Linked DNA regions of Macaca mulatta. The protein of the gene in region 1 interacts with the protein of each later gene in a biochemical or structural test. Links are inferred from orthologs where the notes say so. Each region holds a gene or a part of one and is shown in the gene's direction. Other genes may lie near its edges.

Region 1 (3,649 bases):
CTGAAGATGTCCCTCTTTCTTTTCTTTGTTTTTTCTTTTTTTTGAGATGAGGTCTTGGTCTGTCACCCAGGCTGGAGTGCAGGGGCGCAATCGTAGCTCACTGCAGCCTCCACCTCTCAGACTCAAGTGATCCTCCTGCCTCACCCTCCTGAGTAGCTGAGACTACAGACACGTGCCACCACACAGACTAATTGTATTTTATTTTGGGGAAGAGACACAGTCTTGTTATGTTGGCCTGGCTGGTCTCAAACTCCAGGGTGCAAGGGTCCCTGCCACCTCCGTCTTCCAAACTGCTAAGATGACAGGCGTGGGCCGCCGTACCCAGCCTCCCTGAGGTTTTTCTGACCTGCAGCTCCCCTACCTGCCTGTTGGAGAGGGCGTCACAGGGGAGGGGTTCAGGATCACACATGGTTGGAGCTGCCTCTCCAGGTACCTCTGCCGGGTCCCTGGGGGGTTCTTCCTGCCCGGATCAGCGTGGCCAGGCCCGCAGGCCCCTCTGGGACTGGCATCGGCACGTGACCTCTCCTTATCCACTTGTGTGTTCTAGATTTCCCCAGTGGCCGCCTCTACTGGGTTGACTCTAAACTTCACTCCATCTCAAGCATCGACGTCAACGGGGGCAACCGGAAGACCGTCTTGGAGGACAAAGAGAGGCTGGCCCACCCCTTCTCCTTGGCCATCTTTGAGGTGCGGCTTACGTACGAGATGCAAGAACTTAGATGGCAGATAGACACAGACTGTGTAGATCACTCAAGCCAAGACGAATGCGGAAAACTGGTCATGACTAGGAGGATGTCTTAGACCTGAGTTATTTCTATTTTCTTTTTTTTTTTTTTTGAGACGGAGTTTCGCTCTTGTTGCCCAGGCTGGAATGCAATGGTGTGATCTCAGCTCACCGCAACCTCCACCTCCCAGGTTCAAGCAATTCTCCTGTCTCAGGCTCCCCAATAGTTGGGATTATAGGCATGGACCACCATGCCCGGCTAATTTTGTATTTTTAGTAGAGACAGGGTTTCTCCATGTTGGCCAGGCTGGTCTCGAACTCCCGACCTCAGGTGATCCACCTGCCTCTGCCTCCCAAAGTGCTGGCTGGGATTACAGGCGTGAGCCACCGCGCCTGGTGCTTTGTATTCTTTTTACTGAGAGCAGTGAAAGGCAGTGATCCTCGGTCACATGTGATCTTGGCTCTCAGGGCACATTTGGCGATTTCTAGAGATTTTTTGGTTGTCACAAGTTGATGGGGAAGACTGTTGGCATGTAGTGGGTAGAGGCCAGTGACGTTGCTGAACGCCCAGAACAGAGAAGTAGCAGGCCCTAGATACCGCCACGATGGGGAAACCTGCTCTAAGGAAATGGCATTATTTTATAACCCCACGTTCCTGGCAGCATGATTACCCAGAGCCAAAAGTGGAGTCCCCTCAGGTCTGTTCGTCCATTTGCATTTTAGTAAAGGAATAGCTGAGGCCGGGTAATTTATAAAGAAAAGAGGTTTAAACTGGGCACGGCAACCTACGCCTATAATCCCAGAACTTTGGGAGGCTGAGGCAGGAGGATCACTTGAGTCCCGGAGTGCGAGACCAGCCTGGCCAACATGACGAAACCCTGTCTCTACAAAAAATACAAAAAGTAGCCAGGTGTGGTGGCAGGCACCTGTAATCCCGGGTTCTCCAGAGACCGAGCCATGAGAATTGCTTGATCCCAGGAGTTGGAAGCTGCAGTGAGCCAAGATCATGCCACTGCACTTCAGCCTGGGCGACAGAGTGGGACTCTGTCTCAAAAAAAAAAAAAAGAAAAGAAAAGAAAAGAAAAAAATTTCTGGAAATGGGTGGTGGTGATGGTGATACTTGCACAACAGTGTGAATCTGCTTAAGGCCATTGAACTGTGCACTTACAAATAGCTGAGATGGTACATTTTATGTTATGTATATTTTTACCACAATTAAAAACTAGTTGTGGGCCAGGCATGGTGGCTCATGCCTATAATCCCACCTCTTTGGGAGGTTGAGGGAGGTGGATCATGAGGTCAGGAGTTCGAGACCAGCCAGGCCAACATGGTGAAACCCCATCTCTACTAAAAATACAAAAAGTAGCCAGGTGTGGTGGCACACGCCTGTAGTCCCAGCTACTCGGGAGGCTGAGGCAGGAGAGCCGCTTGAACCTGGGAGGCTAAGATTGCAGTGAGCCGAAATTGTGCCACTGCACTCTAGCCTGGGTGACAGAGCAAGACTTAGTCTCAAAAAAAAAAAAAAAAAAAAAAAAAAGGGCTAGCTGTGGGTGAGGCATGGTGGCTCACGCTTGTAATCCCAGCACTTTGGGAGACCGAGGCAGGTGGATAGCCTGAGGTCAGGAGTTTGAATCCAGCCTGGCCAACATGGTGAAATCCCGTCTCTACTAAAAATACAAAAAATTAGCCAGGTGTGGTGGCATGTGCTTGTAATCCCAGCTACTCGGGAGGCTGAAGCAGGATAATCGTTTGAACCCGGGAGGTGGAGGTTGCAGTGAGCCGAGACTGGGCCACTGTACTCCAGCCTAGGCAACAAGAGTAAAATTCTGTCTCAAAAAACAAACAAGCAAACAAGTTGTGGAGAGAGGGTGGCCTGTATCTCATCCCAGTGTTTAATGGGATTTGTCATCTTCCTTGCTGCCTGTTTAGGACAAAGTATTTTGGACAGATATCATCAACGAAGCCATTTTCAGTGCCAACCGCCTCACAGGTTCTGATATCAATTTGTTGGCCGAAAACCTACTGTCCCCAGAGGATATGGTCCTCTTCCACAACCTCACCCAGCCAAGAGGTAAGGGTGGGTCAGCCCCACCACCCCCCCTTGAAACCTCCTTGTGGAAACTCTGGAATGTTCTGGAAGTTTCTGGAATCTTCTAGTCTATCTGATGATCTGGTTCCTGCCCTGACTCCACTTCTTCTGCCCCAGGAGTGAACTGGTGTGAGAGGACCACGCTGAGCAATGGCGGCTGCCAGTATCTGTGCCTACCTGCCCCACAGATCAACCCCCAGTCGCCCAAGTTTACCTGCACCTGCCCGGACGGCATGCTGCTGGCCAAGGACATGAGGAGCTGCCTCACAGGTGCGGCACACGCCTTGTTTCTGTGTCCTGTGTCCTCCAACTGCCCCTCCTGAGACTCTCTGCTTATCTGTCAAATGGGTACCTCTAAGTCATTGTGAGGACTCGTGAGTCGGGAAAACCATACTTTTCTTTCCTTGGATGGACACATCAGCACTGGGCTGGACATATACCCAGTTCCCCTTTGATACCTGGTTTCCTCTTTCCCGGACCCGTGAAGAGGTGATATGATTTCTGACAAGGGCCCTGAGGGAGGAAATGGTCCCCTTTGTTGACTTTTATTTCTCTTTTTTGAGATTTGCTCTGTCACCCAGGCTGGAGTGCAGTGGTGCCATCTTGGCTCACTGCTGCCTCTCCTATTGGGTTCAAGCAATTCTCATGCCTCAGCCTCCCAAGTAGCTGGGATTACAGGCATGCACCGCCACGCCTGGCTAATTTTTGTATTTTTAGTACAGACAGGGTTTCTCCACGGTGGTCAGGCTGGTGTCGAACTCCTGACCTCAGATGATCCACTCACCTCTGCCTCTTGAAGTGCTAGGATTACAGGCATGAACCACCGTGCCAGGCCC
Region 2 (3,649 bases), on another chromosome or scaffold:
GAAGTGGAGGTTGCAGTGAGCCGAGATCATGCCACTGCACTCCAGCCTGGGTGACAGAGCAAGACACCATCTCAAAAAAAAAAAAAAAAAAAAAAGACGCCACTTTTACATAAGCAGTAATTAAACTAAGAAGACTTAGTTTGTGGCAATATTCTTCAAATCTTTCAGAGCATAATTTCTTCTTTAACATAAGCATAGATACAGATTTTAGTTTCCTAACAGCATGCCTCCACCCCAGTTGAATACAGAGATGGGTACATTCACCAAGATGACGTTTATCAAATGGTCATCTAAGAAACCTTTTGAGGCCTGCAACAGTGTGGTAAACCATGGCTTGCTGAGAATGCTAGATCTCAGTCCTCAGAGAGCTATTTTACAGCAAGTTATTTTTGTGGTGATTCCTTTGCCCCAATGGGGGCTCCCTTCTCAGTTTAGCAGTATGTCAGAAATACTTTAAAGATTAGCAGATGTTTGGGTTAATAAAAAGCATGTTTATCTTCTTTCAGGCTATTACACATTCTTACTATGATTTCTTTACAGGGACTTTGAAAAAAGAAAAAAACTGTAGTATTTGGTCATCATTTTAAATATTTCTTTATCATTACAGAATGCACAAAACATTGAATTTAAACACTTCTTAGTGAAAATAAGATTAATGGCTCTTGTCAGCCAGACATTTTAGACTCTAAGTGTAGCACTTCCTTAGATTTGTAGCCTCACTGTCTCCTCTTAGCTGATTCTTACTCGTTCATGTTCCTCTACCTGGAATGTCAGACACAGATATATTATAAACAGAAGCAGTGTTAGGGACATCGCACCTGGCCAAAGTTATAATTCATTTGTTACTGGGAGGAATATTGTGGCAATATTAACCTTGTTTGAGAGGTTATGACAAGTCATCAAAGGAAGGTTAAAACTTCACATTGGCCAGGGACACATGTTATAACTGAGGCCAATCTGTCTACAGCAGTTTAGATGCTCTTCAGAGTTTTGGGCAGTGTGACGAGTATCTGAATTTTACAGGAGTTTTTAAGTGTGGCATACCTTTTAGTAAATGTATAGTATTGTATACAACTAGGAGAGGCTCAAGCAGGATGAAACTAAGGCTGGAAAGTAAACTAATCACACATAATATGCAGTTTTATGTACATTTTTGGAGCGCTCTGATGTTCGAGGCACTTAAGAAGTCATATATAATATACATGTTATGTCAAATACTGTAGTAGAGGAATAGAGGATTTGCATGTGATACAGACCAATGGGTATCCAAGCAAGGGGACAGAAAGAATGGCCATCAGGACAGAGGGAGCAGCAAGACCAGAGACACCATGGCATGAACATGCTTCCTGGATTTTCCAGAGAGGAACTGTTCCCTCTCCTGGGGCATAGCAGCTGCAGGGAATGACAGGAGACGTGGCTGGAAAGCTGGGGCCAGATGGCGGAGACTCCTCAGCTCCACGTTAATGACGTGCTCCCTTGGCAAGCCGTACAGATCCCTTGAAGGATTTTGAGCAGAGAAATGACAAGTTTACACTAGAAACAAGCAGCATGGAAGGTAGGCTGCCTGCATGGAGTCTGGAGGAGGAGAGCAGCTCAGAGAATAGCGTAAATTCTTCCTGCAAGTAGTATTGAGGAGGTACAAACAGGAGCATAGAACTGGATTTAAATAGTTTTCAGAGACAAGAAAGTCAAGTGAAATTGGACAGAGTCCAAAGTCAGTCTGTGGTCTCCATTGGGAGAAAAGGGCTTTGGAAAGAATATATGGAGTTTGGTTTTGAATGAGCCAAAATTGAGGTAGTGAAGAATATCCAGGTGGTGAAGCCTATAGGAGATTGGACATTTTTCCTGTGATTCTTAGGAGAGAAGCTGGCACTGAGACTAGAGATAGGGGTATCATTTGAATAAAGGTGAGAATTTTGTCTTTATGTATAGGGTTCCTTAAGATTCTATGAGAATCTATGTCAAGATACATTTTTTCTGATTAAAATAATTTATTTTAAAACACTATAATGCAGAAATGTGTATGTGTAATTATTTTGTTTTGTAGCCTTAATGTTACCAAACTTGTATTAAATAAGTTTATCTTGTTTTTGAGTCACAACTTTTATTCCAAAGAAACTCAGTTCTTACTTTGATTTTGTCTTAATACTGATGGTTTTTTTTTTAAAGTTCTTTAATGTTAAGCATTTTCAGTGTGACTTTTTAAATTGCTCTCCTTAAAAGTGACTGTGGAATTGCTAAGTAGGCTGAGATTGATGTCAGGTTATCCCCAAGCGTAACCTCACTCTCACCTTGCTCTGCAGGCATATCTTTTTCTTGCACATCAAGGAGGCCCTCTTGGCAGGCCACCTTTTGTGTTCCCCAGAGCAGGCAGTGGAACTCAGTGCCCTCCTGGCCCAGACCAAGTTTGGAGACTACAACCAGAACACTGCCAAGTATAACTATGAGGAGCTGTGTGCCAAGGAGCTCTCCTCTGCCACCTTGAACAGGTGAGGCTGCCATCAGGGCGACTGCTTATATTCATAGAGCTATCAAATGTATGAGCATTTCCAGAAGAAGATGAATCTGTGGTACATACACATAATTCATGAGGTTAAGACTGGGCCATTGCCCAATTTAACCAAGTATTTTTTAAAAATTTGTTAGCCTTTTACTTGAAAAATATATAAACACAATATGAAATGCTATATAATGAGAATTTTTTAAATGTCTGCCTTTAAGTACAAATCTCCTAAAATAAAAAAATCTATTATGTATATTGGTGTTTTCTTCATCCCAGCAAGAATTAAACCAGGAGATCTAATAGGCATTTTAGTTATCTATTCCTGAATAACAAGTTACCCCAAATCTTAGTGGCTCAAAACAACAAAAATTGTCTCACAGTTCTGTAGGTCAGAAATCTGGCCATGTCTTGGCTGGGTCCTCTGGCTCATGAGACAGTAGTCAAGCTGCAGGTGGAACTCTGTCTCATCTGAAGGCTCAACAGAGGGTGGCCTCCATGCCAAGTTGACTCCTGTGGTTTGTTGGCCTGCCTTCTTCCCTGGCTACAGGGGCCTCAGGGGTCAGCTTTATACTTATAAACTATATGTGGACAAATGCATGAGACTTTCCAATATGTAAATTTGACTTATGTATATTTTTAGAGACTTTCCATAATTCTTCAATTCATCACCCATCCAGCATCCCCAAAGTGTTTTTACCAAGTATTTAATAGTTGAGATCCCAGTGTCTTAGAGGTTTTTTACAGTAAGTTCGCTAAATACATGAAACATCAGTAATACATAAGTTTTAAGCTGTTGTGATTCATCAGTGTTAGTATATTTCACTTGTGAAGACTACATGGGTTTATCTCTAAAGTTAATATCTGTATACTTAATTCTCTGTCCTCTTGGTGTCCTCCAGCATTGTTGCAAAACATAAGGAGTTAGAGGGGACCAGCCAGGCTTCAGCTGAATACCAAGTTTTGCAGATTGTGTCGGCAATGGAAAACTATGGCATAGAATGGCATTCTGTGAGGGATAGCGAAGGGCAGAAACTGCTCATTGGGGTTGGACCTGAAGGAATCTCAATTTGTAAAGATGACTTTAGCCCAATTAATAGGTAAGCCAAGACTTAACTTTTTTTGACCTAAGCATGTGTATACATCTGT
Region 3 (3,649 bases), on another chromosome or scaffold:
TGGCGAGGGCTGGGGTCGTGCTGGTCACCGCTGCCGGCAACTTCCGGGATGATGCCTGCCTCTACTCCCCAGCCTCGGCTCCCGAGGTAGGTGCTGAGGCTGCTGCCCCAAGACGGGGAGCAAAGGGCAGGCGGGCCTCGTGGGCTTCTTGCAGCACGTTCCTGGAGGCTGAACCCTTCTGGCTTTGGAAGGAGTCGTCAGAGCCCCCCCGCCATGCGGGAGGCTGGGGAGGAATGGCCTCGAGCCTCCATCATCCCAGAGTCTGAACAGCAGTGACCCCGCCACGCCCCCACGTAGCGGCGCCCACGAAGCCACGCCCCCACAGCCCGTCCTGGCCACTCTCCCTCTTGAGGGTCTCCTGGTAGCCGCCCCCTCCCCATCTCCCTCCCCATCTCCCTCCCCAGGCCCTGCGTCCTCTGCCCAATAGTCTTAGGGCCCGCCCAATATTCTTAGGGCCCGCCCAATAGTCTTAGGCCCTCCCCACTATCCAGATCCCTCCGCAGCTGCATGACTGACCACTTGAGCAAGGCTAATGTGAATGGGAACAGTTGAGGGCTCAGACCTCACCCGAGGGACATCCAGAGAGTGTGCCGCAGGGCCGTGCAGTGTGGCTGCCGGGACACAGACACGGAGCCTCGGCCCTGAGGAGCTGGGGGGCAGTGACCGTCCCTCCTGTGACCACCACTCCTCCAGTGTCAGGTCACTGCGGGTATCTAGGGGAGAGAATCTTGTTCCACTTCAAGTCTGGAACTTCAAGTCTGTGTGTGTGCGCGCGCGCGTTGTGGGTGGGGATTGCGGAGCAGAAGCATACCTGACAGCGGTAACCCAGATCCTCCCTGGCCTCGGAGGCTTCCCTGGCAGCCCAATTTAAAGGCATCAAGCAAACAAAGCCCAACACATCTCTGCCTTGCCCTCTCAGTCTCCCCCCGTGGCACTTAGAGCCACCTGATACACCGAGTAGTTTCCTATCTCCCTCACTAGAATGTAAACTCCACAGGGGCTTTGGGAATGCTGCCTGGCTATGGTAGGGACAGAGGGGAGCACCAGGGCGGGGCAGGGGTGCCAGAGTTCTGCCTGGGGAGTCAGATTTTCCTTAGGAGGGGACATTTGAATGGGACCCAAACAGGTGTATAGCAGTTGTTCAGCCCAGCTGGCAAGGCCTCAGTTTGCTTCTGCAACCCCTCTCTTGGGCTCCTTTCTGTGCCACCTACCTCCTCACCTTTCCAGGTCATCACAGTTGGGGCCACCAATGCCCAGGACCAGCCGGTGACCCTGGGGACTTTGGGGACCAACTTTGGCCGCTGTGTGGACCTCTTTGCCCCAGGGGAGGACATCATTGGTGCCTCCAGCGACTGCAGCACCTGCTTTGTGTCACGGAGTGGGACATCGCAGGCTGCTGCCCACGTGGCTGGTAAGTCACCACCCCACTGCCTTGGCCACCGTGATGCTAACAGCCCTTTGGCGGTCAGGGTCTGTGCCAGGACCTCCAGTGCCAGGCTCTGTGCAGGGGGACCAGAGATGAGACAGGCCTGATGGTGCCTTCATGGACACTCAGTCTGATGAGGGAGACGAGTGCACAGTGGGAACACGAGGTTAGGGCTGTATTAGAGGGAGCCCAGAGGAGGCACCTGCCCAGCCCGAGGGTCAGAGAAGGCTTCTTGGACAAGGGACATTTGATCTGGAGCTTGATGGATGAATAGGAGTCCACCTGGCCGATAAGACAGCAACTACCAAGGCTTAGAGGTGTGACGGAAGGCTGTCTTACCTCACTGTGTGAGGGACTGCAGGCGGCTTACCTTCTAGAAGAGAGCTTGGTGTCTCTGGTGTGTGCACGTATTTTTGTGTGTATGTGTGTGTGTGTGTGCACTGGCAGGAGTCCCCTGCTGGGGCAGGAGGGTCAGGCCGTCACCATCTTTCACCATTCACCCCTGTACCAGGCATTGCAGCCATGATGCTGTCTGCCGAGCCGGAGCTCACTCTGGCCGAGTTGAGGCAGAGACTGATCCACTTCTCTGCCAAAGATGTCATCAATGAGGCCTGGTTCCCTGAGGACCAGCGGGTACTGACCCCCAACCTGGTGGCCGCCCTGCCCCCCAGCACCCACAGGGCAGGTAAGCAGGACGGCAGGGTGGGCGAGGCCAGACTGGGGCTTGGGAGGTCTGTGTGACCTTGACAGTCTCTCCCCTCTCCCTTGTCTGTGTAAGGAGGATGACACCACCTTAAATAGGATTAAATGAGAAGGGGGCTCTGAAAGGGCTTTGCAATATTTTCATAACATGTTTTTATAGAGACAGTTGAGTATGTTCTTTAAGCCCTCCTCTCTCCTACCATGAACTAAAGATTTTTGTGGAGGTCCCCTCACTCCCAGCACCCCCTCCTCATCCCAGGCACTTTTTGCAGGTTGGCAGCTGTTTTGCAGGACTGTGTGGTCAGCACACTCGGGGCCTACACGGATGGCCACAGCCGTAGCCCGCTGCGCCCAGGATGAGGAGCTGCTGAGCTGCTCCAGTTTCTCCAGGAGTGGGAAGCGGCGGGGCGAGCGCATCGAGGTGGCTACCCCTCCTTCGTGTGTGTGTGTGTGTGTGTGTGTGTGTGTGTGTGTGTGTGTGTGTGTGTGTGAGTGCTGGGCCCTGAGGGACCCGCAGCAAGCCCCTCCATCCTCGACACTCCAGCTCTTCTGTAAGCTTACAGGGCTGGCCAGAGCAGGAGTGGGGCACTCCTCATCTCACGCTGCTGGGGGCCGCTGGAGAGAGCCACAGTGAGAAGGATTTCCTAGAGGCTGCAGGACAGTGCTGGATGGATTTTCAATGGGTGCTGGATGGGTGTCAGCGTGAGGGTCAGGGATCTGCTACTCTGGACTCAGCCATCTCTAGGCCCTTCTCACTCAGGTGCTCCATGGTTCTGGGAGCTGAGAAATCTCAAACCAGCAAAAAAGGGGAATTGATGTTGATGCTACAGGGTAGTGCACAGATGCCATCTGGTCGCAGCATTTTGGTGGAAGGGCAGTGCCCAGTCAGGAGAGTGAGGAGGGGCAGGCATTTCTGGCCTGGGAGATGGTGTCTTAATGCTTGTGTGGGAGGCAGAGTGGGTGGGGTGGAGCCCGCTGGGTCCTTGCTTTGGCCTCTTGGATTTCCCTGTATCTCCATTTTGAAACCACTCTGTGTTTGGAAGAACTTTTGAGTATTCAGAGCTGCCCATTGGCAGAACAGTCTACTTTGGGCAGGAGCGAGCTCCTTGTCCCCAGAAGGCTAGGGGCAGGGTCTGACTGGCCCCTGGTAGGGACACTGACGAGGGTGCTTGAGTTGATCCTGTCTAGTCCCTTTCTCTGTTTTCAAAGCCCATTCTAAAGCAGATTCCTATTTCTGTCTTTGACTCTCAGGCCCAAGGGGGCAAGCGGGTCTGCCGGGCCCACAACGCTTTTGGGGGTGAGGGTGTCTACGCCATTGCCAGGTGCTGCCTGCTACCCCAAGTCAACTGCAGCGTCCACACAGCTCCACCAGCTGGGGCCAGCATGGGGACCCGTGTCCACTGCCATCAGCAGGGCCACGTCCTCACAGGTAGGAGGCTGGGCCTGCCCTGGGGTGAGGAGAGTTCCCTTTCTCCTTATGCACCCACTGCCCTCGAGGCTTGGTCCTCATGAGTGTGATCC

The links.
Region 2: of the proteins of LDLR (region 1) and MYLIP, one has a biochemical effect on the other in vitro, tested with the Homo sapiens proteins (4 studies listed by BioGRID, with this or other methods). The link is inferred for Macaca mulatta from reciprocal best matches to the Homo sapiens genes LDLR and MYLIP.
Region 3: the proteins of LDLR (region 1) and PCSK9 form a complex in vitro, tested with the Homo sapiens proteins (3 studies listed by IntAct, with this or other methods). The link is inferred for Macaca mulatta from reciprocal best matches to the Homo sapiens genes LDLR and PCSK9.

What each region holds. Positions count from the first base shown.
Region 1 is NC_133424.1:11,851,891-11,855,539, forward strand, and holds part of LDLR (low-density lipoprotein receptor), read left to right. Parts: intron 1-547; coding exon 548-687; intron 688-2,653; coding exon 2,654-2,795; intron 2,796-2,930; coding exon 2,931-3,083; coding exon of another isoform or gene 3,084-3,136; exon of another isoform or gene 3,137-3,649.
Region 2 is NC_133409.1:166,971,999-166,975,647, reverse strand, and holds part of MYLIP (E3 ubiquitin-protein ligase MYLIP), read left to right. Parts: intron 1-2,303; coding exon 2,304-2,489; intron 2,490-3,402; coding exon 3,403-3,600; intron 3,601-3,649. UniProt on the Homo sapiens protein: E3 ubiquitin-protein ligase that mediates ubiquitination and subsequent proteasomal degradation of myosin regulatory light chain (MRLC), LDLR, VLDLR and LRP8. Activity depends on E2 enzymes of the UBE2D family.
Region 3 is NC_133406.1:185,576,472-185,580,120, reverse strand, and holds part of PCSK9 (proprotein convertase subtilisin/kexin type 9), read left to right. Parts: coding exon 1-86; intron 87-1,227; coding exon 1,228-1,411; coding exon of another isoform or gene 1,412-1,441; intron 1,442-1,901; coding exon of another isoform or gene 1,902-1,937; coding exon 1,938-2,111; intron 2,112-2,400; coding exon 2,401-2,549; intron 2,550-3,337; coding exon of another isoform or gene 3,338-3,379; coding exon 3,380-3,557; coding exon of another isoform or gene 3,558-3,590; intron 3,591-3,649.